4 linked regions of the Arabidopsis thaliana genome follow. The protein of the gene in region 3 interacts with the protein of the main gene of each other region in a pairwise test. Each region holds a gene or a part of one and is shown on either strand. Other genes may lie near its edges. The genes, in order: PTAC6, ckl4, MYB73 and AT3G12830.

Evidence for each region.
Region 1: the proteins of MYB73 (region 3) and PTAC6 interact in binary tests that used the Arabidopsis thaliana proteins (3 or more experiments, as listed by UniProt).
Region 2: the proteins of MYB73 (region 3) and ckl4 interact in binary tests that used the Arabidopsis thaliana proteins (3 or more experiments, as listed by UniProt).
Region 4: the proteins of MYB73 (region 3) and AT3G12830 interact in binary tests that used the Arabidopsis thaliana proteins (3 or more experiments, as listed by UniProt).

Annotation. Positions count from the first base shown.
Region 1 is NC_003070.9:7,567,814-7,576,918, forward strand, and holds PTAC6 (plastid transcriptionally active 6), read right to left. Parts: upstream 6,034-9,105; 5' UTR 5,970-6,033; coding exon 5,484-5,969; intron 5,384-5,483; coding exon 5,315-5,383; intron 4,768-5,314; coding exon 4,663-4,767; intron 4,429-4,662; coding exon 4,309-4,428; intron 4,019-4,308; coding exon 3,929-4,018; intron 3,818-3,928; coding exon 3,701-3,817; 3' UTR 3,583-3,700; exon of another isoform or gene 3,209-3,582; 3' UTR 3,032-3,208; downstream 1-3,031. Other genes in the region: AT1G21590 (kinase with adenine nucleotide alpha hydrolases-like domain-containing protein), read right to left, coding at 31-279, 384-1,118, 1,219-1,468, 1,547-1,644, 1,731-1,881; AT1G21610 (wound-responsive family protein), read left to right, coding at 6,291-6,530, 7,143-7,229, 7,380-7,472, 7,546-7,622, 8,018-8,144, 8,226-8,567, 8,772-8,853, 8,939-9,051. UniProt on the Arabidopsis thaliana protein: Essential protein involved in plastid gene expression and in chloroplast biogenesis.
Region 2 is NC_003075.7:14,242,556-14,252,243, reverse strand, and holds ckl4 (casein kinase I-like 4), read right to left. Parts: upstream 5,985-9,688; 5' UTR 5,886-5,984; coding exon 5,810-5,885; intron 5,732-5,809; coding exon 5,691-5,731; intron 5,513-5,690; coding exon 5,443-5,512; intron 5,358-5,442; coding exon 5,209-5,357; intron 5,089-5,208; coding exon 4,922-5,088; intron 4,800-4,921; coding exon 4,738-4,799; intron 4,661-4,737; coding exon 4,597-4,660; intron 4,459-4,596; coding exon 4,374-4,458; intron 4,296-4,373; coding exon 4,169-4,295; intron 4,074-4,168; coding exon 3,997-4,073; intron 3,824-3,996; coding exon 3,766-3,823; intron 3,582-3,765; coding exon 3,454-3,581; coding exon of another isoform or gene 3,421-3,453; exon of another isoform or gene 3,188-3,420; coding exon 3,047-3,187; 3' UTR 2,372-3,046; downstream 1-2,371. Other genes in the region: ckl3 (casein kinase I-like 3), read right to left, coding at 1-67, 171-319, 409-478, 681-721, 818-893; AT4G28870 (mutator transposase MUDRA protein), read right to left, coding at 1,524-1,823; XTH26 (xyloglucan endotransglucosylase/hydrolase 26), read right to left, coding at 6,463-6,874, 7,195-7,388, 7,511-7,611, 7,737-7,908.
Region 3 is NC_003075.7:17,537,418-17,544,840, reverse strand, and holds MYB73 (myb domain protein 73), read right to left. Parts: upstream 4,352-7,423; 5' UTR 4,240-4,351; coding exon 3,277-4,239; 3' UTR 3,042-3,276; downstream 1-3,041. Other genes in the region: HMA1 (heavy metal atpase 1), read left to right, coding at 1-81, 241-353, 716-954, 1,373-1,478, 1,631-1,795, 1,943-2,159, 2,244-2,431, 2,515-2,601 and 1 more. UniProt on the Arabidopsis thaliana protein: Transcription factor that functions in salt stress response. Acts as a negative regulator of NHX7/SOS1 and CBL4/SOS3 induction in response to salt stress. In response to auxin, activates the transcription of the auxin-responsive gene IAA19.
Region 4 is NC_003074.8:4,076,807-4,083,900, forward strand, and holds AT3G12830 (SAUR-like auxin-responsive protein family), read right to left. Parts: upstream 2,822-7,094; 5' UTR 2,710-2,821; coding exon 2,311-2,709; 3' UTR 1,845-2,310; downstream 1-1,844. Other genes in the region: AT3G12833 (uncharacterized protein), read left to right, coding at 6,323-6,340, 6,433-6,615; AT3G12835 (uncharacterized protein), read right to left, coding at 6,459-6,563. UniProt on the Arabidopsis thaliana protein: Provide a mechanistic link between auxin and plasma membrane H(+)-ATPases (PM H(+)-ATPases, e.g.

The sequences.
Region 1 (9,105 bases), on a different chromosome or scaffold from region 3:
CTGCAAGTGGCTAAATGGTCAGAGGCTTACCGTGAAGATTCTCTTCAAGGCTTCCTCTTGAGAGATAATTATATACTAGTAACAGGTTATTGTTTTCAAAGCAATAACCTAAAAGGGAAATAACGTTCTTATGGTGTAAGGTTGTGATAATGTCAATCTCTGCCACAAAATCCTTCAAGACACATTCGGTTCGTTTGAGAATTTTCACTGCAACCTCTCTTCCATTTGGCAGATAACCTCTAAAAACCCGGCTGCTGCCTCCTTTTCCGATGAAATTATCTGAAAGTACATTGCTTTTCTTATTTAGACAAAAGGAAATGACAAGAGTCTTAAGAAAGTTCAAAACAAAGCGGTAGCTTAATTATGAGAAGAGAGGAACAAACCAGCACAGAAATTGGATGTCACCGACACAAGTTCCTTATACGTAAAAAACTGGCAAGATGTGGAGATCCTTGCCTGAAGACCCTCTACATTCTCTGGAAATCTACCTGAGCTATGATCAAGAGAACATTTCACGATCATAGATTCATCAGGAACAATTGCTTGCCTTTCAACGTTTGAGCTAGACAACTTATCATTTTCTTCAGATTCAGAAGAATCAAAACCAATCTGCTTTGTGTCTGAGCTTCCAACAACAGAATTGGTCCTAGCGGGCAGCTTCAGCACCCACTGCACAACTGGTATCTTTCGGAACGAAGAACTTCTCGGAGCAGAAGCTAATACATCTGAAGAAGCTACACGACAAAGCAAAGGCCAACCTGGTCTAAATTCAGGCAGTTCTTTTACCAGCATTGTAATGAATGGGGTCAAATCTTCTGGAAATTTTGCAGGAACAAGTGCCATTGCCTTGTGCAAATCAGCATTATCATCTTGATCACCATTACAGCTAGACGATCGAGATAAATTTCCAGGCGTAGGCAAGGAATTCATATCACGAACCGAGCAATTCCCAAGGCATGCATACACTAAAGACCGCCGAAGACTCTGACCATTGGAATGATCTTCCTCTGCCTCTTCCTCTTCCACCTCAGAATGGTTTACTACTTTGGTATTCTTTCTCAATGTGACAGGCATCTGAAAGAAACTAGACAAAGTGTTCCTACGAGCATCACTTTTACCTATTACAAACCAATGCCCAAGAAAGAAGAAGAGTTCAAAACCCTAATACAGACACAGAAATCATCACATACAAAAGAAACTTATAGAGAAAGGCCAAACCTTTAGAGTGATGAATGATCGATGAGGAACCATCTTTCTGAAACATGACTTTTCCATTGTCAACAGCCAGAACCCAGCAATCTTTTGCTACTTTCCTAGCTAAGTACTTAGCCACGGAGACAGATGAATGAATTGTATGGAAACGTCTGGAGATCCCAACTACAACTTTGGACGCAGAACACATTTTTGCTTCTTTAACTAGAATCTTTCGAGTAGAAGAACCCCGGGATAATTTTAGCTTCAATTCCAACTATTAAAAGCAATTCAACCATCATCAGCTAGAGCAGAGAGAATAGAGCATGAAAGTTTTCCACTTTAATAAGCATACCTGTTTCAATTTGCAGAAACCTTCATAAACTTCAAGAACAGAATCAAAGTTTTTAACAATGGAGACGAGAGAAGAGTTGTCTGCTCGGTCAACGATCTCTACACAAATCCAATAAGAGAGAGTAAACATGGAAACCCATTTCCAAAAATCGTAGCTTTAATACAGAGAAACAAAAAAGTGTTACCATTGCCGAGTACATGAAGAGCGATTACAGTATCACCCGGTTCAGCAACCTTAACCAAAGCCCAATCAAGTAGCTCATTGCTCGACTCATCGAACTTTACGCCCACCATAACAGTATGGCCTCCTCCTGTAACGACGCCGTTTTCCGTCATCTCTCTCTCTATCACTCTCTTATCTTATCACTTCCCAGTTTCCTCAAACTGTTTTGTCTGAATTTCAGGTGAATACGTTGTAGTGTGATGATTCCACGAGGCACAAAATCATCGCAACGCTCACAAAAGTGAATCTCTATTCTCTCTCACTCTCTGGTTTTGCAGCTTCTGAGAAAGAGAGAAGAGTAAGAATGGAGGAGCAGACATATGAGAATTTTCATTTCGTTGCCATTTAGATAAATAAAATACATAATTTAATATTTAGTCTTCACAGTACACTCTCTCATTAATTATCAACCTAACAAATAACAAATTATAAAAAATATATATAGATATATCTTTTCTTTTTTTTGCTCATTTTAATTAATTTAAAAATATTTCAGATACATTCATGAAATTAACTTTATTTATTCCCTATTGTAGATTATTTTATACAAAAAAAAAATATATGCAACACAAACATTTTCTTTTATCTGAATTTATGTTACATAATTAACTTAAGAGATTGGTACCATACCAAACAGTAGAAGAAGAAATCTACGTATTAAATACGGGGAATATGGTCCACCGTTATCGATTAATAGAATGTTGTGCCATGTATAAAAGTACCATAAATGAGGTTCCGGCAATGAGATAACAAATTATCATAATTATGTGATTTTATTCCTTTGTTTTTATATGAATCATTCCTTGTCCATTGTGTATGTATTTTAATAGGTAGATTGACAAATCAAAGATGCTTATTAGAAATGTAGCCCACCAAAACCATACTTACTTACAAATTCAACGGTTGATGCACATACCTTATCGTTATTTTTATTCCATTTGACTATTCTTTCTCACGTCAATCTTCTTTATTTTATCGTGCAATTCATTTTATCGTGCACATGTTTTTGTTTCTTCGACTCAATTGAATTGTTTTAAGATTTGATCATTTCCTTCTCTACCTTGTTGGTTTGGCATATGTCAAATCGATCGTTCTGACCATTCTATCGCAATTTTCATTCCATAATATTGAACACAATCGTGTTTTACAACTATTCTTAATTTCTTATATACCTAACGAATTCCATATCACCGAACTGTTGGTGCATTTATTTTGTTTTACGTGTCATTCTAAGTGATTCATGTAATTTTTCAAGTGTGGCAATAAATAAAGATATTTGTATTAAAAAACTGAATAGGGAAGTTAATGTTCGGTGGTCACAGAATGGGCCAATGGAACCAACCACACAACATGACTGCTCTGTCGGCGACTTTGACATTTGTAATCCCACTCACGTGAAAATCCAATCGACCGAACATGATACCGTACACGTGTCTTTTCCTGATGTCATCATTAATTACATCAAAAAGTTTAGAATAACAGACTACCTGTCGTTTTTAGTAGCTTCGTATAACTAAAACGACACGCCGGCTACAAGTTCTAACTAGTCCACTCAACAACAGTCAACACCATCCCAATTTCTCAAATACAAACACTTTGTTCCAATCTTGAATATGAAAATATCTCATCACAAGAATAATACAAGCCATCATAATCATCAATTGAAAACTTGAATTAAACACCTCAAAACTTGCAAATAAGCTAGCTTCTCTAGTCATTGAATGTTAGTCCATCAAACTATTGCATCTACACACTTTTTTCTAGAGGCCCATATTCATCTAATAACACATCCATCTCTGCTGCTAGTGCAGTACCTGAGGTCACCAAAATTGTATACCCTCCACCATATCATCGATTTAGATCATCTGCTCTCGTTTTCCATCTCAGGAAGAAAGTTATGCTGACTTGTCGTTTGGTGTCTCTCGAGTTCTTCTAGAACCAATTTGAGACACTGAAGTCTCGTAGCTTCCTGAGATGTTTCTCCATGTCTTCTCTAGTCTTGGTCCACTCTTCTCTTTCTATTACCGTTGTTGGGTCATCTCTTTCACCCTGAAAGAATGGAAATATATAGACATAGAGTGAAGATGAGTAAAGCTAGATGAAGGAATACAAATGACTGCCAGATGAAATGGATTTGGTCATTTGGAAATGGAAAGGTACCACGTGTATGATCTTAAAGGAGGTTCCATTATCTCGTATCACAAGCAAGTCATCCTTCCTATCCCTTTTTCTTCCTCCCGGAACTGTCACCTGAAACAATCTAAAACCTTAACATCGGAAAGAAGATTGTCTTCATAGCTTTGAGCTATGCACAGTATTTAAAGAACTCATAACTCAAGATATCTGATTCAGAACTAGAGGCATAAATAGCACTAATATAAACCAGCATTTCATTAGTGTTATAGCATGAAAAATATTCTATAAGAATATGTCAAAAAACCCAATTGGCTATGGTCTACGGTTGAGGTTTGTGCTCAGACTCGGAATGAGAACTTTGTTAATAATGCTTAAATAACTTGGAAGATAAGAATTAGTCATACCAGAACTCTGGCTCTGGTGATTGACTTTGTCTTGGAATCAATAACATATATCTCTTCAAGATCTAGCACAAATTCTGGATCGTTTGTCCTTCTGTTCCGGTAATGTTTTGTCAAGAAAACCTGCATAAAAAATAAACACGATGAAGACAATTTGTATCAGAAACTGTAACTACTAAACTAAGTAGTTTCGTGTTGATCTCATCCTTAATGCTTAAAAAACATATTTCCTGGTGTGGTTTCCAAAAATGTTGTCAAATCAAAACTAAGTACATCCTTGTTAATACATGTTGCTCAAGACTCCCTGCATCAAAGACCTAATGGATTTAACATCAATGTACATGGTCCAATATGTACCTTGGATATCTCCCTCTCAGATTTGTACAGTGGATCTCTGGGGGCATCAATAGGTGGTTCAGTGACATTGTAACATCCATAGTCACTCATTGCACATCGAATATACTGTACTTGTAACATCATTAAACAAGCCCTTGTTAGCACCACTCACTCATTGTAACAACTTGCTTATAAATAAACCTTACAATGTAAAACATACGCAATCATGAAGCAGCAAAGAGTACAAAACTGGCCACAGAATGAAAGGAAAGTGACTAAACAAACACCCAGCTGCTACATTCTGACTCTCTAATCATACTAAATGCTGACCATTTACGGCACTTTTTGAGATTATATGTTCAAAATTCCAGTCTATCAGTGTGAGTAGAAGTTCCAAACAATACCAAACGTGTACAGCTCTGTGTAGATAAGATTTCTTAAGTTATACAATTACTAGGTAGAGTGAAGGTATATGGGTTATACAATTACTAGGTAGAGCTCTGTGCAGATAAGATTTCTTAAGTGATACAATTACTAGGTAGAGTGGAGGTATATGGGTTCAATTAGCAATTAAGCACAATATGAAAAGCAATTATCTTGCTGAACAAAAGGAAGTCTCAGAACAACGCATAGGCATTACAAAAACAGCAACCGATAAGGATAAATGACTGACCTTTTGAGGCATCGGTGCAAGAACTCTCGGAATTGAGTAAATATCTGTATCCGGAGGAGTAACATACATCTGCAGCCACCCACACAAAACAATTTACAATTGAAGAATGAGCACAGACTCTAGAGAAATCGAAGAAATGAGCAATTAGAGTCACTGGGAATTCACACACCTCTCTGAAATCATAAACATCATTATCTGGATCAGGAGGTTTTCTGATAAAGAAATCACAGTCCATTAAGCTGAGTTTATGAAACTCATCTTCGTTTATCCGATAATCAACCACCATATCCGAATCCCATCCTTGTGTCGATATAAAACTCTTACTCTGAACAAAAGCGATATCTCCATCACCACCACCGCCTGCAGCGGCTATCGCGGCGGCCAAGGGGTCATACTCGACATCATAGTCCTTCTTGTTGTCAACTTCCTCTACCTCCTCATCATCCATATCATACTCGTCCGCTCCACCTCCATCAGCATCGACGTCATCTACTTTAACGACTATACCACGGCCGCGTCGGGATTTCAGTGTTAAAGGCGCGAAAAGACCGTCCGTTCTGAATGACGCAAATAGCCGCTGAGAGCCGGAGGGATAAGGTGGCTTCGAGGTGAATGAGAGTAGAGATAAGGAAGGAGAAGCGGCGGAAGACGCCATTGGAAGCGGATAAAGCTCACAGAGTGTTCTATCTATCTGTGGATTAGATATTTCGAGGAAAAATACAATTAAAAAAAAAAGAAAAACTATATAATATAATAATAATCCTTTTTAGTGAATAAAACAACAAAAATAAATTAGGAAATAATTAAGAGCGTCATTTTTGGTATCCCGCGCAACTTTTTCTTCTCAGTTTCAGTTTCTCTACATCGATTCATCGATTCCACTCTCTTGATTGCTGTTTAGATCAATCCGTCTCGAACCCAGGGGTTAGTATATAGTGGATCAAACTGATCCGACCCGACCCGACCCGAATTATTAATGTCGGAAGTTAATGAGATGAGTGGTGGTTCTATTGGCGGCGAATTGTTGAGAGCGTCGCCGAAGGTTTTAACGGCCGGTGATCGGAAATTACTCAAGGTGGAGCTTCGGCCAGGGGATACGACGTATGTTTCGTGGAAGAAGCTTATGAGGGATGCTGGTAAGGTCAATGGTTTATCGGCTTCGGTTCCCGACCCGCCTCCTAATGCTAACCCTAACCTTGAGTTTCGAATTGCACCGGTGAGTTTGATGTTGTAGGAATTGGTAATCGGATATATATACTTGTAGGCATTTGTGGGTTTCGTTTGCTGTTATTGGAGTAAGCATTTGTCTTGTTTCGGGGAGTTGTAATCTTTGTTAGGGTTTATAAAGGAGCTTTACTAAATTCGCAGATTTTCAGATTTATTTGTTGGGGAAAATGCTTGAAATCGATATGGTATAGGAGGAATTCTGTTGTTATTGCTCTCTGACGTCTGTGACTAGAGTTCAATAAGCAAACTCCTTAAACGGAGAAAGTCTACAACCTGATATATGATCTTTGGCTTCATTTCTAATTGCTAGCTACATTAGGCTAACTTCATCGTTATCAATGTGAATATGCCATCAATTATACTTGATCTGGAAAGGAATTTGGTTCACATAGTTGCAATGGAAACTATAGCTGTAATAGTGAAGAATATAGAGAAAGTTTTATTAATATCTATTAGTGCAAGAGAATGAAGCATATAATAGTGGATCTTCATTTAAGATGGTATAATATGCTTGCAGCTTCCTCACAATATATTCTTCTTATGCATACAATATGGGTGGTTAAAATCATTTTCAACAGCTGTATTTTCGTATATAATGTAGGGGCATCCAGTAGAGATTGAAACGAATGAACAACCTCATTCTAACCGTTTCAACGCTGTTATTGAGAAGATAGAGAGGCTCTATAAGGTATGCTACTCTTTGTTAAAACACTTTTCTTGGTAGGTTGTTATATGTTTGATTTTTCACATTCACAACATTTTTGCATACCATGCAATAGCACTGTTGCATTCACACATCTCTGAAAAGTGTATGCTTACTTCAGAGAATAAATCTCAGGGGAACGATAGCAGTGATGGGGAAGAGTTAGACGGTGCTCCTGATGATGATGAGTATGACACTGAAGATTCATTTATAGATGATGCTGAACTGGTTGGTGTTGATATCTTTCAAATATTTTTGATAGCTGAGAAATCATATCTCTGTTTTACTCTACTCCTTGCAGGATGAGTATTTCGAAGTTGATAATTCAACAGTTAAACATGATGGATTTTATGTAAATAGAGGCAAGTTGGAGCGGATGTGAGTTATCTTCCTCTTTTCATTATCTGATGTCTCTTAACTCTTTGGTGGCTTTGTCACTTTTCAATCACTCAGATCATGTTTAGAATAGGCATGTCGTAAGTTTTTGAAATAAACATATGAAATCACCTTGCTTTTCAGTTTTTCTTCCTATTTGGATATGTGTAGTCTCTCCAAATGGTAAAATATGGTTGGCAGTCTTGCTACTACTGCCTTAACTAATGTCTGTAGGGTGTTTGGTATGGGTAAAGTCCATTTTTCAACTTTTCTGGTTAAAAAACGTTCATATAGATGTAGGTTTTGCACTTTCGATAGGATAGAGTTTTTCTCATTTTGCCTAATCATGCTATATTTCATTTACAAGTTATCTAATCCCTGATTCATTTTCACAATAGGGAACCTTCAACAACATCTAACCAGCAACCCAAAAAACGGCGACGAAAAGATTCAGCAAAACCCTGTCGTGATGCAGTTGACGTATCCGATAAACACACCAAGTTGTCTATAACAGCTAGGAAAAAGGTAACATCTTTTATTGCAAATCATACTAATTTATGTCGGAGTTTGAGTCTGATAACTGATTATACGAATGGGGAAGTCCAGGATCAATCAACTGCTCCTGGGTCCTGGAAAACACAGGAGTCACCTTTGCCTTCTGGAGCGCAAGATGCAAATACTTCAGTACCTCTGGATGATGTGAAGCATTCTGATAGAGCAAATCATCAGTCTAGGAATGATACAAGTCACAAGTCAAGGGAAACTGGATCCTCTAGTGCCCTTCATCAGAAATACAGCAACAAAAGCTTACACCAACAATCTACGTCCCTGCTAGGAAAATCTCCCCCCAATGTCTTTGCAGAGGTAACAGTAGTCCGTCAGAAAGAAAACAATGGTATGCATCAGCTGGCAAATGTAACGGGAAGCAGACAATCTAGTCAAGCGTCTGTAAGTACATTCCAACTGTGTCTACAATTACATAAAATACACTCAGTAAGTTGGTTGCATTCTAAGGTCGTAGTTTTGTTTCTCCAGTTTTCATCTCGGTTCTGTGATATTTTTCTGGTCAATCTTTGCTTCCATGCATTTTTCTTACCACAAAGTTTACATCAGTCTTGCTTTATAATTCTGCAATAACCTGTCTCTACTCAGAAAAAAGATGGTTCTAATGTGAAGTCTAAAACCTCAATCCTCGAGAAAGCCATAAGGGAACTGGAGAAGGTGGTTGTGGAATGTGAGTTTTAATATTTTTCAAGTGTGACCAACTAGAATAGCATTTGGTGATTTTCAACTTACAAGAATTTATGATTTATAAGCAGCAAGGCCTCCTGCTATCACTGAAAATCAAGAAGCTGATACCTCATCCCAGGCAGTGAAGAGAAGATTGCCCAGGGATGTTAAATTGAAACTTGCTAAAGTTGCTAGGATTGCGGTACTAGAGCTTTTCCATTTGTTCTTCTCATTTTTTTGAAACTTGAAACGGTAT
Region 2 (9,688 bases), 3.3 Mb from region 3:
GGAAGTTATCGGGTTTAATATCTCTATGCAGATATCCTTTCGAATGTACAAATTCTATTCTTGTTAGCTGTAACAGCGGGATAAGAAAATCGGAAGCACATTAGATAATCAATGTATAAGTCAACAGATATTATAAATAGCCTAATGAATAGTTGAAAGTCATGCCATACCATTTGATCAGCCAACATCAAGACTGTCTTTGGTGAGAATTTCCTCCCACAGTAGACGAAAAGATCTTCGAGACTTGGACCGAGCAAATCCATCACTAAAGCATTCTCTGTTCCATCAACTCCAAACCATTTTATGCGCGGAATTCCACCTGACACATAACATAAAAATTAGTATTGTACTGCTAATGAATCCCTCCAATGTCCAACAACTGAGAAAAGAGAGGAAAGAGAATCATACTTCCTCCTTCAAGAATTCTATATAGCTTAGCTTCATAGAGAAGTTGAGGATGCTTTGTTTTACTGTTCTCCTGCAAGAGAAAATGATTGAATTAAAAACAAGTGTTAGCTTGAAGAATATATTGCAGCTAAAAAGCACCGAGTTTAAAACCTTGCTCAATTTTAGAGTAAAGCAATTCAAACAAAATCAATTAAGAGACATAGCAGATCCAAATCAAATCTCCAGATTGGATGGATTCAATTCGTCTCAAGGCAAATTGAGCTGGGACTTACGATCTTAACAGCTACGATCTCGAAGGTATCGACGTGCGTAGCTGCGAAAACAACAAACAGAAGAGAAGAGCGTCAATTTCAAATAAAAAAGCAAACTCGGAAAACCAAAGGGACAAGAACAGAGGAGAACACAAAACCTAGAAAAATCTCTCCGAACGAACCACCGCCGATCTTCCGTCCGAGCTTGTACTTGCCGCCGATGATGCGTTCCATGGCAGCTCCAATCAGAACCGAATCTGGATCAAGCGCAAGGATAGAGATAAGGATTTAGGGTTGTTGTTTAGAAGATTGAAATTAGAGGAACTTAAAAACATATATTATTATTTTTGTTTGACTGACATCGGTGGTAGTGACATGGACCCAGGCTTGTTTGAGCCGTAGTAGTGATCCTTCAAAAAAAAATTTGTACACCTAACTACTGCACCATTTTGGGTCCGCCAATCTTTTTTTACCTTATAAACAAACACGAGGGTATTTACGTGATTTTGTAATGTCACGCTGGCACGGTGGATGATTTGATGATTTCCGTTTTTGGGGTCTGCAAAATGATGAAGGTTCGAAAATTTAATGGGTTGGCTGATTTTCGAGTCATAAACTATTTCGATTCTTAGTTTTCACTCCCGGATTTTTGGGCCCTTAAATTTCCACCATCAATTTTCATATTCCTCAAAATTACATCATCTACTTTCGAATTCATGATTAAACATACATTTTCAATTGAACCATTCATTTAACCGGGATTAACCACAAATCCGCGTTTACTGTACCGCGATTGTGATTAACCCGACTAATACCCAGACCCGTTAAGAAAACGACGTCGTTTTCATTCTTCTTCTTTAACTCTCAAATCGATTTGGTAGTCCTCTTCTTTTGACTTTCATCTCTGTCTCCATCGTCTTCTAGATTGACGTCTCCATCAGACGCTATGTCACCATCGTCTTCTCTATTTTCCTCTCCATCAGAAGCTCTGTCTCCATCTATCCCGACGTCCTCTCCCTCGATTCTGGTGGCTTCGTCCTCCTCGACTCCGCTATCACCACTATCACTTCCATCGTCGGCTTCAATGTCACTCTCTGGAGGTTCGAAATCGGGGTCATCTGGATCGCTTTGGTAAATCAATCTTTCCTCCCACCAATTCTTCATTTCTCCCTATTCGAAACCCAAATCGAGACCCAAAAATTCGAACCGAAGAAGAAAACCCCAAATCCCCTTTTGTCTTTCTCTCTCAAGAACCCTAATTTCACAGTGTCGAGATTAAAGAAGAACGACTAAATCGATTTGAGAGTTAAAGAAGAAGAATGAAAACGACGTCGTTTTCTTTCTCTTTTTGATGAGTTAAACGAAATGAAAACGACGTCGTTTTCTTAACGGGTCTGGGTATTAGTTGGGTTAATCGCAATCGCGGTACAGTAAACGCGGATTTGTGGTTAATCCCGGTTAAATGAATGGTTCAATTGGAAATGTATGTTTAAGCATGAATCCAAAAATAGATGATGTAATTTTGGGAATATGAAAGTTGATGGTGGAAATTTAAAGGCCCAAAAGTCCGGGTGTGAAAGCTGAGAATCGAAATAGTTTATGGCTCGAAAATCAGCCAACCCAAATTTAATCCACTAACTAGTTCTCTACCAAATCGATCAATTCTAGGTGTTTGTATTTCAATATTGAGACTACAATTTTATACGTTTTTTTTTTTTAATAATAGCAATTGAAAATGCATGTTTGGATCAAGTCAAGCTTTTTGATATAATTTTTTTCAATGCACAAAATCGAGTAAGAAAAATCAAACACAGAATACCATTAAACTGAATAGGAAATTCAGAGAAAAAAAAAGGGGGAAGTGTTTCTCGGAGCATTCCAGAAGCTAGCCATAGCTTATCCTTTTACGTTCTCGTCAGCTGCACATTAGCTTGATGGTGACATGTCCCTGCCACAAGCAACTCTTGACTCAAGCCTTTGAAGGCATCTCTGCTGAAGCTGCTCATGCTTTGCTCTTGATTTTCTGCAAACAATGTTGATGACACAGCAAACCCAGGTTATGCCCCAACACAGGGAACTACGTACAGAAATACGAACAAAGTTTTATAGAAGAAAACTTGGGAGAATGAATCACAAGAACCAAATTACACGCCCGGTTGCAAGATTTTATACAAAGGTTGAAGTCAGTCATTTGTGAGAATCTTGAAGGAAAGCAAACATAATCTTCATGCCTTTTGTCAAACAGTAAGCTGTTCATGGAAAAACTCCATTCAGATCTTCAACCTCAGTCTAGAGCTTTTCACTGCAGAAATCACAGTTTAGACCCAAAGGCACACATAATCTTGCTCAGCAGATCAGATGAATGATATACTCCAACTTTTTTTGCATCATTTCCCCGGTGACATGAATGGTGAAGTCCAACCGCCGGTTTTATTCCCGCTCCCAAACCCAGAATTTGAGGTTTCGGGTCTGACATTTCTTTTTGAGGTACCCGCAGGAGATAATGAAGTGGATGATGGCATGTTCATCTGCAATGGGTTTTCAGTAAAATAATGGTCAAGAGCATATTTCGTGATGATCAGTATCGTGTTTTAATCATTTATGCTATATGTAGTTCATATCACAATATAGAGCTCGTTGATGACAATTGACCATGCAAAACAGGTAAAAGCTTTAAGCAGAGAACCATGCAGAACTCTGAAGCAACACAGATGCAGGCATGAGATGCTAACACAAGGGGGAGGGTTGCAGGATACAACATTTATTTGGAAGAGGCAAATGAATAAGCACGTACATTCTTGTGGACTTGATCAAAACCCAGACTCCTCCCTACAGCGGTATTAATCTGTGGGCTTGGACCACTGGCATTAGCCGGTCTGACACGGTCAGAGACTTGGGCTTCATGTGAAATCTTAGTTCCTCCTGCCAAACGGAGAGTTAGCATCAAGATATTGAAATAAACAGTTGCAACGGGAAACTAAATCAGCCAAACACTCTATGCCAGTTGAGTCCAGTGTGAAAGTCGAGAGAAAACAAAAAACACATCATATACTATTACAAAATTAATCAGAAAGTGACACAATTAAAATTTATAACTCGAGCTGACCTCGATGATTGCTTGTGTCCATTGGTATTGCACGAGCATTACTAGACCCAGGAACGGCCTGCAGCATGACAGTTTATTGTTAGGAAGACAGGCATATCTATATTTAGCACCAAAACTAAAAAATAGCAAAACCAAGTAAAACTTCTCCCCAGGAAATCTTCTCTATGAACAAGACAAAATATGCATACACCTGGAGAAAAAAAAATAACAAATGGTATTGATAAACTATACCTGAGACTGACTTCTAGTTTTCTGTGATTGCTGATACTTTATAATAGTCCAGTCATATATATAGTCAAACTCATATCCTGCAAAGAAGAAAACGTTTAAGTGAGCTAGGTAGATAACTGATGCTAGCAGAGAGGATTATAAAAATGATGGAGGGATGTCTTTCTCAAAGTACCTTCCCGTGAGAATAAATCACGAAAAAGCCGCTTCAAGAATCCATAATCAGGGCGTTGATCAAATGTCAGTGTGTGGCAATAATGAAAATATGAAGCAAACTCCACGGGGTGGCTTTTGCATAGAACCTACAAAGGATGGGATATTATTCAGTTGAATGAGGATTAACAAAAAACAATTCACTCACACAGTAGAGGGAAATAGACCTCAATAGGAGTTGATATCTTCTTCTCACAAATTTTGTCATACTTTTGCTTCTTGTCAACAGCCTTAAGACCCTGCCATGGAAGGCTAGAAAAGGAGGTTCATTAAAATAGGAACAAAATGTAAAGCAAGAAAACGGTTAAGTAAATCTCAAACAAGGAAAAACAATACCCTGCCAAAAACACAATGTTAACTAGGTTCTTTCAAGTCAAAAAGTCAACACACCTTCCTCTTAAGAAGTACAGAAGCACATATCCAAGAGACTCTAGGTCATCCCGTCTACCTTGCTCTGCGAAAGAGAAATCGAAATATGTGAGCAAAAACTTTACTTCACAAAGGGGAGAAAAAAGTGGCAGCATTCCTTACCAATACCAAGATGTGTATTGCAACTTGCATATCGTGCAGTTCCTGTTAAATTCTTGTTTTCCCTGAATACAACCAAATAAAAGGTAATAAGTTGTATAATGTGACCTTAAAAACTTATAACAGATAAGATAATTTACCACCTCCAGATGGTAGACACAATATAATGAACCATGGCCACAAATACCTATAAGGGATGTGGCGGTTGGTGTTGGCATCACGATATCTTTTGGCCAGTCCAAAGTCAATTAGATAAACCTGATTCGCTTTGCGGCCTAGGCCCATGAGAAAGTTATCTGGTTTTATATCTCTATGCAGATATCCTTTGGAATGTACATATTCTATTCTAGTTAGCTGTAAAATCGGAATAAGAAAATCATAAGCACATTAGATGATAAATGTATAACTCAAGAGAAATGATTAGTATTTAAACAGAACCAGACGCAATAAATGTGATTAAAACTCATGCCATACCATTTGATCAGCCAACATCAAGACCGTCTTTGGTGAAAATTTTCTCCCACAGTAGACGAAAAGATCTTCGAGACTTGGACCGAGCAAATCCATCACTAAAGCATTCTCTGTTCCATCAACTCCAAACCATCTTATGCGCGGAATTCCACCTGCAAAATGAGCATTGTACTGATAATCAATCCCTCCAATGACCAACAACGACAGAATGGGAAAAGATAGGAATGAGAAACATACTTCCTCCTTCAAGAGTTCTATATAGCTTAGCTTCATAGAGAAGCTGAGGATGTTTTGTTTTACTGTTCTCCTGCAAAACAATCCAAATGATCTGAGTTAAAGACAAATTGTCAGCTAAAAAGTACCATTTCAAGGAGCTTGACTGATAAATTTAGAGTTAATCAATTCAAAGAACCACACGAAACAATGAACATGATACAAAATTCCCAGAGTAGATTCGTTTAATAGCTGATTCAATTGAAACTTACGATCTTAACAGCTACAATCTCGAAGGTATCGATGTGCGTAGCTGCGAAATCAACAAACAAGGTACGTCAATTTCAAACCAAAGAAGAAGAACAAAACTCGAGAATCAACGAGAACACACCTAGGAAAATCTCTCCAAAGGAACCACCGCCAATCTTCCGTCCGAGCTTGTACTTGCCGCCGATGATACGTTCCATGGCAGCTCCGATCACAACCGAATCTGGATCATGCGCAAGGGATAGAGATATCAATTTAGGGCTTTTTTACTTCGTTGAATTTGAGAGTTGAAATTTGCGAATAGATGAGACAATAGGGGCATTAACGTAAATTGTATGGTATAGTAAGGCTAAGAAAATTTGTGTGTCGGTGACGTGGACTGAAATTTAGTTGCCACGTAGGACCGGTGGAGTTTCTAATCCACTAGTTCTAAAGTCAACGCAATGTGTCTAAATATGGATAATTTTGGGGATAATTTTGTATTGGATTTTGTCTCTTTTTACTAGGGTTTTAGCTTTTGAATTTGTTTTTTTTTGTATAGGATTTTAACAAAGAAAAAATGGAAAAAAAAAAACTTCTTCTTCTTCATCATGATTGCTCATTCGAGTTATCAATGAATCAAAGACACACAAAAATCCTCACAAAAACAATTCAGAAAAATAAATTATTAAAAAAAATAATGAAAAACGAATTTACAGTCCGTCCCCATTAACCTCGACCGCGGTGCTATGATTGCCGGAGCCTCTCCTCGTTCCGCCCGCTGGCCGGAAACTTGAATTAGAATTGCTTCTTCGAGCATTCCGGAGGCATAACACCTTTAAATCTGTTAGTGTCCTTGCAATAATCATAGATCATGAAACCATCTCTTATCTTTTGCATCTTCGTCAGCTGCGAAGCAGTGAGCTGACTAAATGATGGTGATGTCCACCAATTAGACCGTATAGTTGGATCTACACATTGCTTGATGCTGACTGATCCCTTCCACAAACAAGCTCTTGCCTTGTACCTACGACCCTCGGCCACAAATGGTGCTAGCGTCCAGTTAGTCTTCACTCGACCTCCTTGTGTTGCCCAGTCTTCTGCGTTCCATAGACTCGCAAACACTTTCATACCTTGCTTGTTCGGGTATGCGATTCCTTCACTTTCGTAGTTTCTAAAAACTCTGATCGGAGTTCCATCGACGAACCACCTATATAAGATATACAACATGGTGTGCGACACGTTTATTTATAGAAAGGAAATAAAAACATATAATCGTTTGAGATTCCTAAAGTTTTTTTGGTTTGAAGGTTCGAAAACATTAAGGAACTAAAAGAAAAATTCATCATGAAGTGTTTGTACTTTAATGTTGTTTTACAGTAACAAACTAAACTATCTAAGTAACATTTAATCTTACTTAAGTTTTTTTGATGTGGTATTTCATTGATAGAAAGTACCATTTCTTAGCATTTGTTTGGAGTTTTTATAAAGTACTTAAGAAACCGCCATAGCCATAAGTTAATTACTTACACAACTTCGGATGGGTTCCAATGGATGGTATAGTTGTGGAAACCATTGGTCGGGTTGAACCATGGCCGGAATTGTTGTTCGCGGTTTCCTTTCCCTTGAGCATATAAGTTGGTGTGGATCGTGTACGGCTGACCAGTCGCATTTCCTAGGAACTCGAAGTCTATCTCATCGTGTGTACTTCCCGTAGACGATAACTACAAAGAAAAATCTGAAAACATTAATCTAATTTTTCTATATATAAAAGAATTGCGTATTGATTCTATTTTTTTTTATTTTTTTTGTAATTCTATCGATCGAGTTCAAAAGAAAATTTTACGTAATAGGCTGCAACGGTTCCAGCAGAATTCCCTGGCACAAGTTTGATGAGCATTTCTACGCTTCCAAACAAATGAGCCACCTTTGATTTAATAGCAGATCCTGCAAAAACAAACAAAAACATAAAAACAGTTATACATGTTTATCTATCAAGTTTCTCATGAAATAATAGACTAAAATTAAATGGACTGATTTTAAAGTTATTGTGTTATAAGATTACTATATACCTGCAGATTTGTCTAGGACAAGTCGAAGGTTGGTACCATTCATGAACATGTGATCTTTACCCCATGTAACAATAAAATTCTTACTGAAGTCTGCCTCCACAAATGTGCGACCAAGAGTCGCTAAGGCAGCTGCCAGAACGAACATTAACGTCTTCGCTTGAAGACCCGCCATCTTACGAATTTGATTTGTGTTTGGAATGTTTTGGATTGGAACTCTATTCGATCACCATTTGTTTGTCAGTAAGGCTTTCTTTATATATAACTTCTAAGAAATCGAAATTTTGACGTAGTCCAAAAAGTATAGAGTTTTGACAATTGACGTGCATCTAATGAACTTTGTATGCATGAATTAGACAACATAACAATTAAAGAACTAACTTCTTTAATATAAAGAAAATGCTATCCTGGAAAGGTACTATGAATATGTATGTTTCTTAGTTTCCAATCACCAACATGTGTTTGATAAATAAATATTAGATAGAAAAAAAAAAAAAAACTAAAATATAAGAAGATGGACACTGTTAGCTGGCTCACGCGGTTGTGGTAGAGGCCGAGGAATATACGTGGGGAAGACTCCACAAATAAATGGGGTCGATGAACTTGTCAACTTCTCCTCTTCCAAATCAGAAATTTTACCAATAGTAACTTCGTTTGTCATCAATCTGTTTTATTACTCTATTGTTCCTTACGATTTCCATATTTTTAATCAGGTATTTTCGTCTCGTTGCATACTGCATAGGGCTTAGATAAAAAAAATCCGTTACATTGTTTTAGGATTTCATGAAAAAAATTTAATAAATCATGCTTAACCAAAAAATAAATTTTGATACATTTTGGTTTTACTTTTAGATAGATTATATTTAATTTGGTTTGTTTTCGTTCACATAACAGAGATTGGACACTCATGAAGTGGTGAAACATTGTAAACAACGATTCTCCATTTAGATTAGTTTATAAAGTTCGTTCTAAAAGTGCAAGACATCATTAAAACGTGTTTTAAGGTTTTTTTATTTAATGATTTAAGCAAGGAAATCCAGTGATCAGTCAAGAATAACTTTCGGTGGGTGTTGAAATATTCTTGTATATTATATTCACAATAAATCTGGATCAATGGTAAATAGACAAACATTGTACGAGAAAAAGTTTGATAATGAGTAAAAGGTCATGTTGATCGCGTTTTTGTTAATCTTGTTAAGAAATCATAATTATATATTCAAAACCTTTAGTTTCATTTTCATTCCTTGTGATAATTAGATCAACGCCACCAATCACCATCAGTCAAAATTATTGTATCGCTTACCACAATCCAAAAGAGACCGAAGAGGCCAACCAATTATTATATTCTTACATGACAATTAAATTTAATCTTAATCACAAAGGCAATCAATCAACATCATTTTATCGATGATGTCGTAACATTGTTGGCTCTTCTTACAACATATAATCATATAAAAGCATATGGCTTACTTTTTTATTTATCCGAAAGTAACTTTTGTCTTAGTTTTTTTCTTAATGTATACATAAGAGGGTCAGCTCTATTTACAAGTATTTGCCGTTACATGAAGTTTAAAGAACTAACTATTAAGGATATTCAATAGAGGAGGCGATGAAATGGACAATAAGAAAGTTTACAAAAGTGAGGTAAGCAGACGCGATTACCCAAAACCCCGAGTTACCAATCGAAACCTTTACGTATATAGTTTTTTATTCTTGTATTATACGAATATCCACACTACGATCTAGTATTAGCCGTTCCCGTCATGCAGATTCTAATTAATGATATTTCTTTGTACTCCAAATTAGTACTATATATGGAGTCATGCATGGACAATACTTTATGACTGGTCTATTGACCATAGAAACATCTTGATATCAAAATCTGATACCCCAAATCATATCAAATGACCTATATATTATTTCTCTTAACTGCTTTGAATGTATAAACAACTCCA
Region 3 (7,423 bases):
GCAAGGTTGTCGTTGTTTTGTCACTTGCAATTGCCTTCCTAGGTCCATTTTTGTTCAAGTGGCCTTTTCTCAGCACCGCAGGTAAGATGTCAGGATCAAGTTCTCCCTTCTTAACATTACCATAAATCATTGTTGATGTGACAAACTATTCTTGTTGTTTAATAAGATATATCACCATTTGGACAATTGATAAGAGTGGAAAATTGATTGGCTTACTTTCATTGCTTGTTAATGATGCAGCATGTAGAGGATCTGTTTACAGAGCATTGGGACTTATGGTGGCCGCATCACCATGTGCTCTGGCCGTAGCTCCATTGGCTTATGCTACTGCTATTAGTTCCTGTGCAAGAAAGGTATTGTTCAAGTACTCTACGTGATCACCAAGTGTATGTTAGCTTTCTTGGCGTTGTGATGTTTTGCAGAATTGCACTTTTGAGCATTGGTTTGTATATGTTCTCTTGTAGCAAATTAAGCTTTATAAGCTAAATAATCTTATGTGCATCAAATGTCAATGGTGAGGAATGAATGGTGCATATGCAACAACATCGTCTTATCTATGAAGACCACCATATTTCAACTAACTATTTGATATCATTTTCCTTTTGTCCAAATCCAGTTGAAAACATGGTTTATTTTCTTTTTCCTTTTTTTTTGCTATGTAAAGGTAGTATCTTCACGTGTAAGTGTGTAACCCCACCGTGTGTAACTATTATAGGGAATATTGCTGAAAGGTGCACAGGTTCTAGATGCTCTTGCGTCTTGCCATACTATTGCTTTTGACAAAACTGGTACCTTAACAACCGGCGGCCTTACTTGTAAAGCAATTGAACCCATTTATGGGCACCAAGGAGGAACTAATTCAAGTGTAATAACTTGCTGCATTCCAAATTGTGAAAAAGAAGCTCTTGCAGTTGCGGCTGCCATGGAGAAGGGCACCACGCATCCTATTGGAAGGTATTGCTTGTTTAGCATCAATTACTAGTATAAAACTTAATTACCACAAACTCTAAAACCATGCAAGTTGTGACCTATGTGCATCCCATCATCACATAGTTAGTACTGTGGCGCGTCTATAACTCATGGGAAATAAGTTATCTTGTTGGATGGTACATTCATTTCAGGAGATATGTTGACGTAAAGAATTTTAGTCCTACATCTAGAACTTATTCTTATTTCTAGTTCATTACCACAATCGGATGAAAGGAAGGGGAAAAAGCAAATTTGAACGCTATGAAGCTCTCTATCTCTGGTTTTTACACTGGTTTTTACACTGGTTTATTAGTTTAAATGATGCTTGGTCTGGTAAGAGATTGAGACTGAAGAGTACTATAGGTCTTTTCTGCTGTTTCTGACACATTTCATCTTGCTGCAGAGCTGTTGTAGATCACAGTGTGGGTAAGGATCTTCCTTCTATTTTTGTTGAAAGCTTCGAATATTTTCCTGGTAGAGGCCTTACTGCTACTGTCAACGGTGTTAAGGTGAGACTCAGTTATTTACTAGATTCTTATATATATCCATTTATCTACCAGATTTTATAGTGTATAGCTGTGGGTGATGTGTGTACATCTCTGGCTTTCATTCTTAATATATATGATGTTGTCTCTCACCACATTTTTTGGTTTTGTAATAGACAGTAGCTGAAGAGAGTAGATTACGAAAAGCATCACTTGGTTCTATAGAGTTCATTACCTCACTTTTCAAATCTGAAGATGAATCTAAACAGATCAAGGATGCTGTAAACGCGTCTTCGTACGGAAAGGACTTCGTTCATGCTGCTCTTTCTGTTGATCAAAAGGTATACTACGACTACTTCTTTAGCTGGTCTAAAAACCTCTTTCCTACTTCACAGTCTGTGATTTTCATCTCTCATCTGACCATTTATTAGTCCATAAAAACCTCTGTAACACTGAAATTTATGAGCCTTGCAACTAAATTTTGTCAGGTAACATTGATTCACCTCGAAGATCAGCCTCGTCCAGGGGTGTCAGGAGTTATAGCAGAACTTAAAAGCTGGGCCAGACTCCGAGTAATGATGTTAACTGGGGACCATGATTCAAGTGCTTGGAGAGTTGCAAACGCAGTGGGTATTACCGAAGTCTACTGCAACCTAAAGCCAGAGGATAAGTTAAATCATGTAAAGAACATTGCTCGGGAAGCAGGTGATCATTCATTACTCTCGCCATAGTTCCCAATCAAAAACATCTATCAAGAGACTGAGAATTTAGAGTTGTGATTTTTGCTAGGTGGAGGTTTAATTATGGTAGGAGAAGGGATTAATGATGCTCCAGCTCTAGCAGCTGCAACAGTGGGGATTGTTCTTGCTCAACGAGCGAGTGCCACTGCGATTGCCGTTGCTGACATCTTACTGCTTCGAGACAACATCACCGGTGTTCCGTTCTGTGTCGCTAAATCCCGCCAGACAACATCATTGGTAGATAAAACATAAAAGTCTTTGTTCTTAACCAGTTTCAGATGTTAGATTGCCTGATTTAACAAGAATGTATCATGTTGCAGGTCAAGCAAAACGTAGCTCTTGCATTAACATCGATATTCTTGGCCGCTCTTCCTTCAGTTTTAGGGTTTGTCCCATTGTGGTTGACGGTACGTAAGCTAATACCCACTACAAGCTTTTGTTATCCATCATTTACCCGAGAGACAAAACCGCTAACCTGCATTTTTGTGATCATAGGTACTTCTACATGAAGGCGGGACTCTTCTGGTGTGTCTAAACTCAGTACGTGGTCTAAACGATCCATCATGGTCGTGGAAACAAGACATAGTTCATCTAATCAACAAGTTACGCTCACAAGAACCAACCAGTAGCAGCAGCAACAGTTTAAGCTCTGCACATTAGGGGGTAACTTGCTGTTCTTTGTCTAATTCTGCAAAAGCAAGACACTGTGAATTGTATGATCGCTTATGAAACATCAAAATCGTATATATGTTTCGTTTCGACTGGTTTCTTCAGGTCATATATTATGTCACGTGAGATTATATTTACTACTTTTAGTTTATGTTTGTTTCCTCGTAACAAACCCATAGAATAAAAGTTTGAGAAGTGTTTTTGACTTTTCTTCTTCAAGTTTGTGTAAATTGTTAATAAATGATCTTGCTTTGCTTTTAATTGAATCACGAAAGAAGATCATATGATGATGATAACAAAACATTTTTTGATTTCGCTTCCTCCTTTCGTCGTCTCTACTACTGGCTCTATACATGAAAAGCCTGAAACTTTTATTTTCCCGAGAAACAGAGGGAAAACTTGTTCTTATCACTCTACTCCATCTTCCCAATTCCGATTTGGTTCACTATAAACTCTCTAAACCCAACACGACGGCTGTTTACACTTTGTGGCATACACGAACCGCCACCTCCGCCGCCAGAACTACTACCACCGACGTTTCCTCGCTGTAAATCCGCCATGTAACTCCTCACCTCCGTCCTTATCATCTCCTGAACCACCGTCATGAACTCACCACCGAATCCACCAGATATCCCCTTCGCTTCTTCTTCTTCTACTTCCACTTGCTCTTCCTTTCTAACCGGAAACAGCTCCGCCGTATAACCACCGTCCATAACCGTATTCTGGTTAAGTTGAACCGGCTCGTTGACTCGAACCGTCTCGTCAGTCCAAGGAAGAGACAAACTAAGATAAGTTGGAGGATCTTCACCAGACGATGACGCTGTAACCTCAGATCTAACCGTTGGTTTAAACACGTGTGCACCACCACTAGATTGCTCGCTGACGTCAGATCCCGATGGACTTCCGGGACTCATATACAAGCCAGTCGAGACACCACCACCACCACTCGCCGTACGTTTCAACGGTTGCTCTTCTCCTAAATTACCATCATACCCTCCATTACCACCAAAATCACAACTTTGCCCTTCGACGCTGCATTTTCGCTTCAGCGTCGAGTTCCAATGATTCTTGATAGCGTTATCGGTTCGTCCATTGAGAAGACGAGAGATCGTAGCCCACTTGTTACCAAACCGAGCGTGAGCTCGAATAATCGTCTCGTCTTCTTCCTGCGAAAAAGCACGGTGCTCTACCTCCGGAGATAGCTGGTTACACCACCGGAGACGACAAGATTTGCCGGAACGTCCAGGGATTGATTTGCTAATCAAAGACCAGTTCCTCGGACCATGTTTCTGAACAAGCCTCTGCAACAGATCATCTTCTTCTGGACTCCATGGACCTTTAATCCTCTCCATATTCTTACGGGTCGGGTTTGACATCGCCGGATCTTTTTATCGGATTGTTCTTTTTTTTTCTTCTAACGCGTCCTCTTTTTTTTTGGTCGTTACAGTTTTTTTTTTTGTGTGTGTTGGGAAGAAAAGCTTTTTGGTTGAAGAGGATAAGAGCAAGAAGAGAGAGTATTTATACGAGAAAGGAGTGGGCAAAAGGGTCACCGGTTCAACCGGTAATTTTTTCTTATCGATTTAACAGAAACGATATTAAACTAGTTAAACTTTACAGTGTAATATTATCCTTAACTGCATAAAAATATCTAACGTATTATTAAAAACAAATTTTATAGAAGGAAACAAATAAAACCGTTTTCTCTATTAATAAAGAGATTTGCTCAGTGTTAAACGGATAACTATGGTAGTTCAAACAATAAAAAATAAAAACTGATAATTATGGTCGTTACTCGTTAAACAATTTTGACTCATTCAGTCAAAAAAATATTGGTGAATTTAATTAATTTAAACGTATGATTAACCATTGTTTATATGTTCATAATTATGTGTCCATAAATGGGCTACGTACAAACCTCGTTAACGTTTGGGTATAAAAAAATTGACAACATTTACGTGTTTGTATGATTGGAACAGATATTTATTTTAAACCAAAAATAAAACACGTTGGCGATTGGAAAAGGCGTTTTGGGAGATAAGCGTTTGTGTGAGGTTAACATCGAGCGTGGAGAGCAGAGAATCTTCCAGGAAAAACGGTTGGGGACTTGGGATACAGCTGTATATTAACACGTGTCAAGTAAGTATATGTACTTTGAGTTTGAGATTTGCTTTTTTTTTTTCAATTGTTCTTTCTTTTTTTTGAGAGATTTGTTTTCTTTTGAAGAGAGAGTACGCTCGTACACAGGAGCGTTTCTTCCACTCTCTGTTTTACAGGTGGAGCGTTTTTACCCAATCATTTCATTTTCCATCTAAAGTGACACTCACAAAAAAAAATCGTTAACTTCTACGTTTTATTCTCTCTATATTTATATCCTTTTTAAAATCATTCTCTTTTTGAATATTTGTTAACTTTTTCGTATGTTTTTTGAAGTTTTATTTTGTAAAATTTTGATACTATTGTAGAAGAAAATGAAATCAAGAATGGCAATGTATATCAAAAAAAATATTAAAGGCAAAATTTTGTAAAAACTAAGAATCTGCTGGAAACATACATATTGCTTTTAAAAATAGTAAGTGCAACAAAAAGACTACATAGAAGTCAATAAAAAATAGCCGAAAGTTTTTGTGTTATGAACTAAAGTTTTTTGATAAGTTATTTTCAATATTTTACACTGTTTGTTACATGTCATTGTCTTCTGTGTGTTGATTGATACGTGTGGTTATTATATAAACGAACGATTGGTCCAATATCCAAATTTTGGTTAAGATGTAAATTGTGTCGGTGAAAATAATGTAGACATTGTAGTCGTTGACAGCGAGTTCTAGGCTTCTAGCTTACATGCAACAAGTGAATGTAATAGTTTTGCAATGTTTGGTCATTGAATTTCTAACAAATATGTACGTGTAAGATACTAGATTAAATATGAATGTTGCAAGTAATAGATCGTTTATATTTGTCAAGTGATAAATTGTCGTATAGAAGAACAACTAAACCGAAGAATTACTAATCCGGTTCAACTTAGTTAACCAGAAATTGAAAGGGTAAACGCCGGTGAAGCGCGTGTAGGATGATGATATATATACAGTGAAGCAAACTTTTCAGGATATATATGTAACTTTTATTTATGTTCTTTGTAAAACAAAAGTGTGTGTAATTGGCAGAAAGAGAGAACAAAACCTAACAAACTGAAATACAACAAATATCTAGATATTCATAAATATCTAAAACCAAGTTCCACTTCATGCAACTTTGCATATATACACACGAAGTTCATAGATTAATTACACAAAATAATGAAAATGAATAACTTAAATACCCTCCAAATTTTGTTTTCATATAGTTTATAAAAAAACTAAACCCTAATGCTCAAAACAATTTATATCTTATGCATTAAAATTAGGGATGTAAACAATAATTGAAGATTATTGTAAAAGAATGTATGATATAATTAAAAATGAAAATTGAAAATACAACAAATATCTAAACCAAGTTCACTTCATATGACTTTGCATATACACATGAGATTCATAGATTATTTACACCAAGATAATGAAAAATGAACAATTTCAGTACCCTCCAAATTTTGTTTTCGTTTAGTTTATATAAAAACTCAACCCTTTGCGCAAAACAGTTGATATCGTATGCACTAAAACATATTAAACTTATGAAGGTAAACCAACAATAATTGAAGTAATATGGTAAAAGAATGTATGATATAATAGAAAAATGAAAAAAGAGCACCAACAAAAAGAAATAAGGAAAACAAGAAGAAGAAGATAAGGATGAAGTTAACGGTTAGGTATGAGGTTTTGGTTCGATTCGGTGACTTTTTGACTGAGGAAGCCAGCCTGTATACCATTATTAGTATTTTTTTTATTTATTTGAAAAATTGTTATCATTATTATGTTTTGGATATTTTGCCGATCTCAAAAATGAAATACTCTAAAAAGCAAAGAAGAAAAAAAGCAAAACAAAAAGAAAAAGATAGGCCAAAAAGAGACAGTTGCTCACGTGGCGCAAAACGACAAGGATAGATCGGAAGGCTGATCGTTACCACTTTAATTTTCTGATATTATAAAAAAAACAAAAACAGGCTGTAAATCTCTGCCTCCCTTTAACGGCCACTCTCCCACCTGCCGGTCACCCACCCACCCTTTTTTATATATTCTTCACTAATTAGTAATTTACCATTCTTAACTCCTTTATAACTTGTGTTTGGAAAACTAAAAATACTTTGGTTTAGTGTTTAGTTAAGAAATTTAGAATTTTTATCATTTGTAAAAAACACAAATTTGACTTTTGACTTTTTTATTTTTTTGAGTTATACACTTAGCTTTTTGAAGGAAATTAAAGAGAACAAAAATATATTTTGGTGTTTTTCAAAATATGTGAGAAAATAAAACTTAAATATTGGAGGGTCGTATTGTCTGAGTGGAATAAATCGTAGTCAACTATATGTATGTTTTTAAGTAAGCGAAGAATTGTATTCGAATAATATATTAAATGCATTGTCCTTATTTTTGTTTCTATTAATGGATTATGTAACCAACCAACGGTTCA
Region 4 (7,094 bases), on a different chromosome or scaffold from region 3:
AATTAATCTTGTTAGGGAGGTTCTAAACACAGGTTAATAACGGAAGCCCATCCATATTTAGTCCCAATTTTTTTTCTTTAACACCTATTAGTATTTAGTCCCAATGTTAATCTCATTCTTTAAAAATTTATGTTTAAACAAAATGAGATTTGTCGTTTTAACGCAAATACTTGGTGGAAAACAAATACATGATCTTTTCATCTGAAAACGTTTTAGGCATACACTTCAAATGTTATTCGTGTGGATTTATGTGATAGAAGAGTCGCTCACTCATATGTGGAATAGTCGGGATTCCTGCATTTTTCTACCAAAAAACATTAACGATGTTTAAAATATTATTTCATTTCTTCTATTATGTGCCACGGAGCAAAATAGTATAATACCATATATATTGAACAACAATGATAAGTATAATCACAATGTGATCCCAAAGAAATTGAATAGAGCTTAAAGAATGAATCAATCATGAGGTATTCCGTGTCCTCCGAAGCAACAATCGAATTCATACTTGAAATGAGCTGCCTAAGTACTCATATATACTTACTACTATATTTCCATGCAATTCCAATATACGAATGTTCCTTAATAAAATAAAAGTACATATTATAAAGTTGTCATTTGGACCTCATTTCAAGAGAATCTTTACAACAAATGACTCTTTTTTTATGATAGTTCTTGACCATACACATGTATGTTTCCTGTTGAGAGGTGTACATGATAATGAAAAGAATAAATGAAAGGAGGACTATTTTTTTTTCTAGTCATGAAGAAAAACTCGATTTCACACTTGGACAGTCGTCATAATTAATGTACATTAACTAAAGTAAACAAAATAAAATACTTGTTTCCATCAAACCAACTATATATAATCAAAGTTCTTTCACTCATTTTTTTTTCTAAGGAAACTTAAGATATGTATTTAGATCCATCCATCTACATGGCTCTCGATGACTTTGACTACATTAATTATATATAAGTATACGTACTATAGATCTAATATCTAAATGTGTATACACCGACTTTGAAAATTTATGGTTGCATTCGGATCAGTCGTCTTATTAATTGACAACAAAACAAAAGAAACAGGAAAACTAATGATTAACTGTGAATTGCTACAAATATATAAGTAGGCATGTGGTGCTGCAGGTGATGCAACATGGGAAATCATATAAATGGACGAAAATTCCCAACTCTATTATTAACTTTCCTCAGATTGGTCACACAACTAATGATTAATTTGTGATTAAACTATGAAGACTATACATATGGAAACATATTATCATTGAGAATCCATAGATGTGGGACAGTTAAACCTCCACATGTTGCTCACTCGGGTCGCATATATAAACATGTGGTGGTGTTTCTATATAAGTAAAGCTGATTAAACATAAAACGAAGGTTACCTAAAAATATGTCTAAACCATTATGTGTAATGTGTGAATTAGATAAGTGCCAACGGTGCAAATAAAGTGAGATCCCATATATAATGATAAAAGTGTTAGTATTTGCCCTTTTAAAACCAACTCATTTGTCTACTAGCTGAAGATTCACCATGTTAACCGAATTCATAGCTCATTCAATTATGGTTAGATAGACACTGGAACGCCAGAAACAAATGTTAGTTTCAATATTTGTGGTCTATATAATACTGTATTGGGCTTGGAATCAAGCTTGTGTTTTGGATCTGAAAGAATGTAACTACAGATGCAAACCCACATGGTTTCACTAGTTTTTTTTTTATGAATTTCAATTATTTTTTTCTATATTTTATTATGAATCTTTGGCATTACTTACCAAAAGATATACTCTCTTCTAGAGAAGCTAAAGGTAACAGATAACTACTTGAGTATCGGGTTAAAAATATTATAGTAACGGCCACAGATTACAGTTTATCATATCCCCTTGATGTATCGCATTGACGGATTTACCCTGCCGATAATCTCGGTGAAACATCAAAATCCTCTTTTTGTTTAACTTGAACAAAAAAAACTGTAATCATGTCAAATAAACCCAGAAATTAAAGAGATCCAAACTGATGCAAATTTTCCATATAAAAAAACTTCACAAGAATTTCAAACCGATTTTTAAAACCGGCGAAAAAATTAGAAAATTTGCAAACAACAAAGAGAAAGAAAATCCCTAAATGCGTCTCCTCTTCCACTTTTGGATCCTGGAAAAATTATATACCTATTTACATCGACACGACGACGAAGTATGATGACTCAGTAGTATCTGAACAAAAACAACCAGATCTAGAAGAAAAAAAAACTTCTCTAACTACCAAGATTCCTTCCAATAAAAGCTTCTTCTTCAAATAGTCCCGTCACCGATTAGATCCTGAACATCAATCGGTACCGGAAGTCCAAGACGAAGCGATTCCATGATTCGTTCGAAGACAAGGACATGGCAAGGGATTTGTAGAACTCCTTTTTGCTCGTAACCATACTCTTGAGCAGATCGGTTTAGTAAACCGATGAAAACCGGATGGTTAAGTAGCTCCGCGCTAACGACGAACCTCTCCATCTCGTCACCTACGTAGACCGGTACGTGTCCTTCGGGAACAGAGGAGGTTTGCTTCTTTGAGCGGCGAGTCACCGAAGAACGGAGGAAGGATTCGGAACGGCGGCTAGGTCGCTGTGAATCGGAACGGAGGAGACTGTATTGAGCGGAATCAGCGACGCGAGAGAGACGACGGATTAGTTGCTTCATCGTCTTCGTGTTGTGACTTTGAGAGAGAGAAGAGAGAAACTTTTGGTGATTGGTACTGAAAACGGATGTTTGAGAATTCGAGAGAGAATCAATGAGAATTTTGTGAAGGAGAGAGTGAGGGAAGGTTTTGGATTTTATATTGAGTCGAGGGTATTTTGGGGAATGTGTATTTGATAAAGTAGGTACGGGGAAGGAGTACTTGCCAGGTACACACACTTACTCGTAATTTTCCACTGACTTTGAAAAATATATAAAATCCTAAAAATATATAATATGATAAAATATCATATTCATTTGATGTAAATCTTTGATTATTTTTTTAAGATTTTTTTATTCTCTTAGATAACTGTTTGGATTTCCATTAACAATATATATCCCCGCATTATCATAATCTTTTTTGAGTATAATGATATTATTGTATTTTCTGATCATAATTGGAATTAAAATAGCAATTAATTTACCTTGGTTATTCTACCAATTTATTGAAAGATTAGATATAGTTTTTTTCTTGTTAGTAATAGATACACGAGGTTCATGAGCAACCCAAAATATATCTTAATGATGTTGTAAAATTAATTACAAGTAGTTATCAGGAAAATAATAACATTATTCATGGTAAACTGATTATAATTTACAAGAGGCCAATATAATGTTCAAAATACAATTTTCATTCAAGCAAATTAAAAAAAAGGGTTATATATCTTTGTTTAGATTAATCCATATACTTTGTAATCCTATATCATGTACATGTAGTTAATATCATTTCATCTAATCATCTATTATCCTACTTCAACTAAGACTGGATATCCAATTCCACTTTGGAAAATTTTTACATATCCAATTTTTACATTTCTTTCTTTAATCCTACTCAAAATATAAGGTGTAGAGAAAGATAGATCCCCTCGTTTTTTTTTATCAAAAGATCCCCTCGTTAATAATTATATTTTCAATATATTAAATAATAAGCTAGAAATTAAATATGGATGAAGTGTGGAAAAGTTAGTTAATTTTGTATATGGAAATAGTTAATTGCATACAAATTTATATTGTAAGATAGCGTATATAGCCATTTAAATATATGGTTTCATACTCGTAACAATGTTCATGGTTTTTATTGAATATGTGATCTATCATATGGCCTAAGTCTTAAATCCCCATAGGAATAAATGATGCCTTCAGAATCTGGTTACAAAGTCTACTATATAGGCTGGATTTTAAATTTCATAAATCAAATACAATTATACAAACTAAATATTCTGGATGGAAATATTACAAAACAAAATGTGGAGCTTCAACTTCTGTTGACCCCAAGAAAATGACATAAAAGGCTTCTAGAATTTGGACCAAGTGATTAGATATGAACCATTTGTGTAAATATTATGAATTCTTTTTGAACCAGTACGTATAGATTATTCAAATAGTCCATACTCACCCTCAACGACTTAAAAGACTTCAATATTCATTTAGCTTTCTTCTGGTCATATTCATATCCTCACGTAACCATCATTGAAAACTAAAATAAGATGTAAGTTACTTGTAAGTTTCCATTATGTAATATATTTTTCAAAGATTAATCACTGTACTGTCTATTATTTTAGATCATAACTAATTAAAAAAATAGCCAAAAAAAACTTATTAAATTTTAACAAATTTTCGTTTTCATTGTGTAAACATAAAAATCTATCACCATCATGACAATATAAACACAAGCCATTCAAGGATATAAGTGATATAATTAATTCATATACTACAAAATATATAGCTGCATGCTCGATTGAATCAAACTTCATAAGTGACGATTCGCTATACCTATTAATGTTGATAATAGATTACTTGTCTTTGCCACAAAACAAAAAGATTACTTGTAAGTTGTGACCTCTAGAAGAAGCATCCGACTATGCAAAATGCACTCAAGCCATGAATCATGACAAATTAATCATAGGTTTATGATCAGGTGACTTTATAAATTGATATTGCCCAAATCTATTAATACACATTCAGTTTTGTGACTTGATTATATACATCTTTTCCCATTTTATAATTTCTTTGAAAAAAATGGCGCGTGAAATTGTAATATACAGCGCGTAGATATCATGAAGGACCATCAGCATGTGTGGGTTAGATAGAGAAAGAAAAAGTAAAGCAGAACTGTTGAAGGATCATTCTTCATTCTGTAAAGGTTAAACTTTAAAGACAAAGATATGATGATGTGACCTAATTTTCTCTGGTTTTCGAAAGTGTCTGCCCCCTAACTTATCTTGGGGGTTACAACTTTAGTCCCCTTTAGCCTCTTAACTTTATTAATTATGTATACATACATATATATATAACTATATTCATATATGGATTAATCAAAATAAAGTGGTCTCGTACTAATAGCCATCTATGTTATTATATACTGCCATGCATCTTTTGTAGGTTTCATCCAATTTAGTAATTTTGAATTCCTACTTGGTCTCAAGTTTTACCATAACTAGAATATCAACTCGATGATATTTATTAGATACTAGCTAATCCATAAACTAGTGTGATTTGTTACATAATTGATTTAAAAGGAAACAATACAAGCAACTTAAAGAAGCAACTAGTTAAGGTGGGGATGGAGTGTTTACAAAATTGTAACGAACTCTCAAGTGGTTAATTCCCTTACGACTCATTTTCTCAAATTTCCGTGGAACTCCTCTCTTATATGATTCAAAACACATTTATGATTTTATTGATTTCTTGTGGAATTGGAAGTGTTCAACCCTCACGTAGTCGGCAATTTTCAATATCCTCACTCATTATACAAATTTGGATAAAAGGAACCGTGTCACTCAAATGATCATAAACATATACACATTCCAATCGGAAACGACTTATGAAGTATTTAGTAACTATATATTACCCTTATCCATAGTATAAAATCCACACCTTTATTTATTTGAAGGCTTGCTAGAATCAATATCTAAAACACCTAATTTCTGCGTGTTGCAATACATATAAAAATCATGCAAAGAATCGGTTACAATTCTAATGGTCGTTAGTCATTGATATTTGATTATAATAATGAAGTAATAGAATTCAAGGAATATCAAATAATGAAACATAAACAGCAATATATATAAAAAAACATATGCAAATATTAAACTATTATGCAAAAAAACACAGATAGAGAAGAGAATATTCCTCCAACGGCAAAGGTTATTAAGAGCCATTACACTTCAATCATTGAGAAACACGTCAATAGCTTGAAACTTCACTCTGATTGGGTTTAGCTGTAACGCGTTACGCGCTATTGCATCATTTAATAAATATGAAGATAAAGTATGTCACCGCTTCCATATACATTAACATTTGCTCTTTTCAAATGCAACTACTTAGTGCTCTCTCTGTTTTAGTTTTATATAAGTTGTAATTTAAAGTTTTACACATATATTAAAAAATTACAAAAATCTCATTTAATTTATCGCTTTTATATAAAAATATCATTTACTATAACTGATTCAATTAATAAAAAATTATATAATTAAATGTTATTAATTAAAAAAGTATTAAATATATTTATTATTTGGGATCAATTATGGGATTAACACTTTAAAGTGTATCCTTTTGTGATTTTAGGAACATTTCAATGTACTACCAAAAACAGGTAATTATACGTGATCGTATTTTACAATCTCACCCCTTTCAGCTTACACTCAATTATTTGATTTCTCTTTTATTTATTTTTCTCCTCAATAGTTGAAGATGCTTCAACAACTTGGCCATTATTTGCTACCGCAGAAGATTTTCTCGCCGTCGCAACCACCACCTCCGTGGAACGCCTTCTGCTCCGCCGCTGCCATTGACGGAGCCAACCATCTCCCTTTCATGTTTCATCTTTTAAAATCTCCTTACCCTGTTATCTCTCCCTCTGATTGTTGAATTCCACATTTTCTCACTTCCCCATCTTACCTCCGGTCCTCTCTTCTCCTTTCAGATTTGCTCTCTGTTCCCTAATTGTTTGGGTTCCCTAATTACAATCCTTATGGTATATATTTTTGTTAATGCTTACCTCAATATATGAGTGACCTCGATCTCACTTTTCCCTTGGGTTCCCTGTTTTCAGATCTTAGGGTTTAGATTTTACATTTTCATCCTCACCTAAAATCATCTTCTCGTTAATGTTTATTTGCTTTTGATGTTCTCTGTTACGCTGAAACACAGCTTCTTCTCTCGAGGGCAAAATCGTCTTTCAAGCTTGTAGGAAGTGTCCAATATCATAAGCCCATTTCGATTGTACCTTATCTCCAATTTGTAGCCCAAATTGTGCCTAAAACAGTAATAGCCCCTTATTATTTGCTTAAAAAATTAAAAACAATACTAAAAGTAACTGCGGCTAGTTTTAGAATTTGCTAATCGTA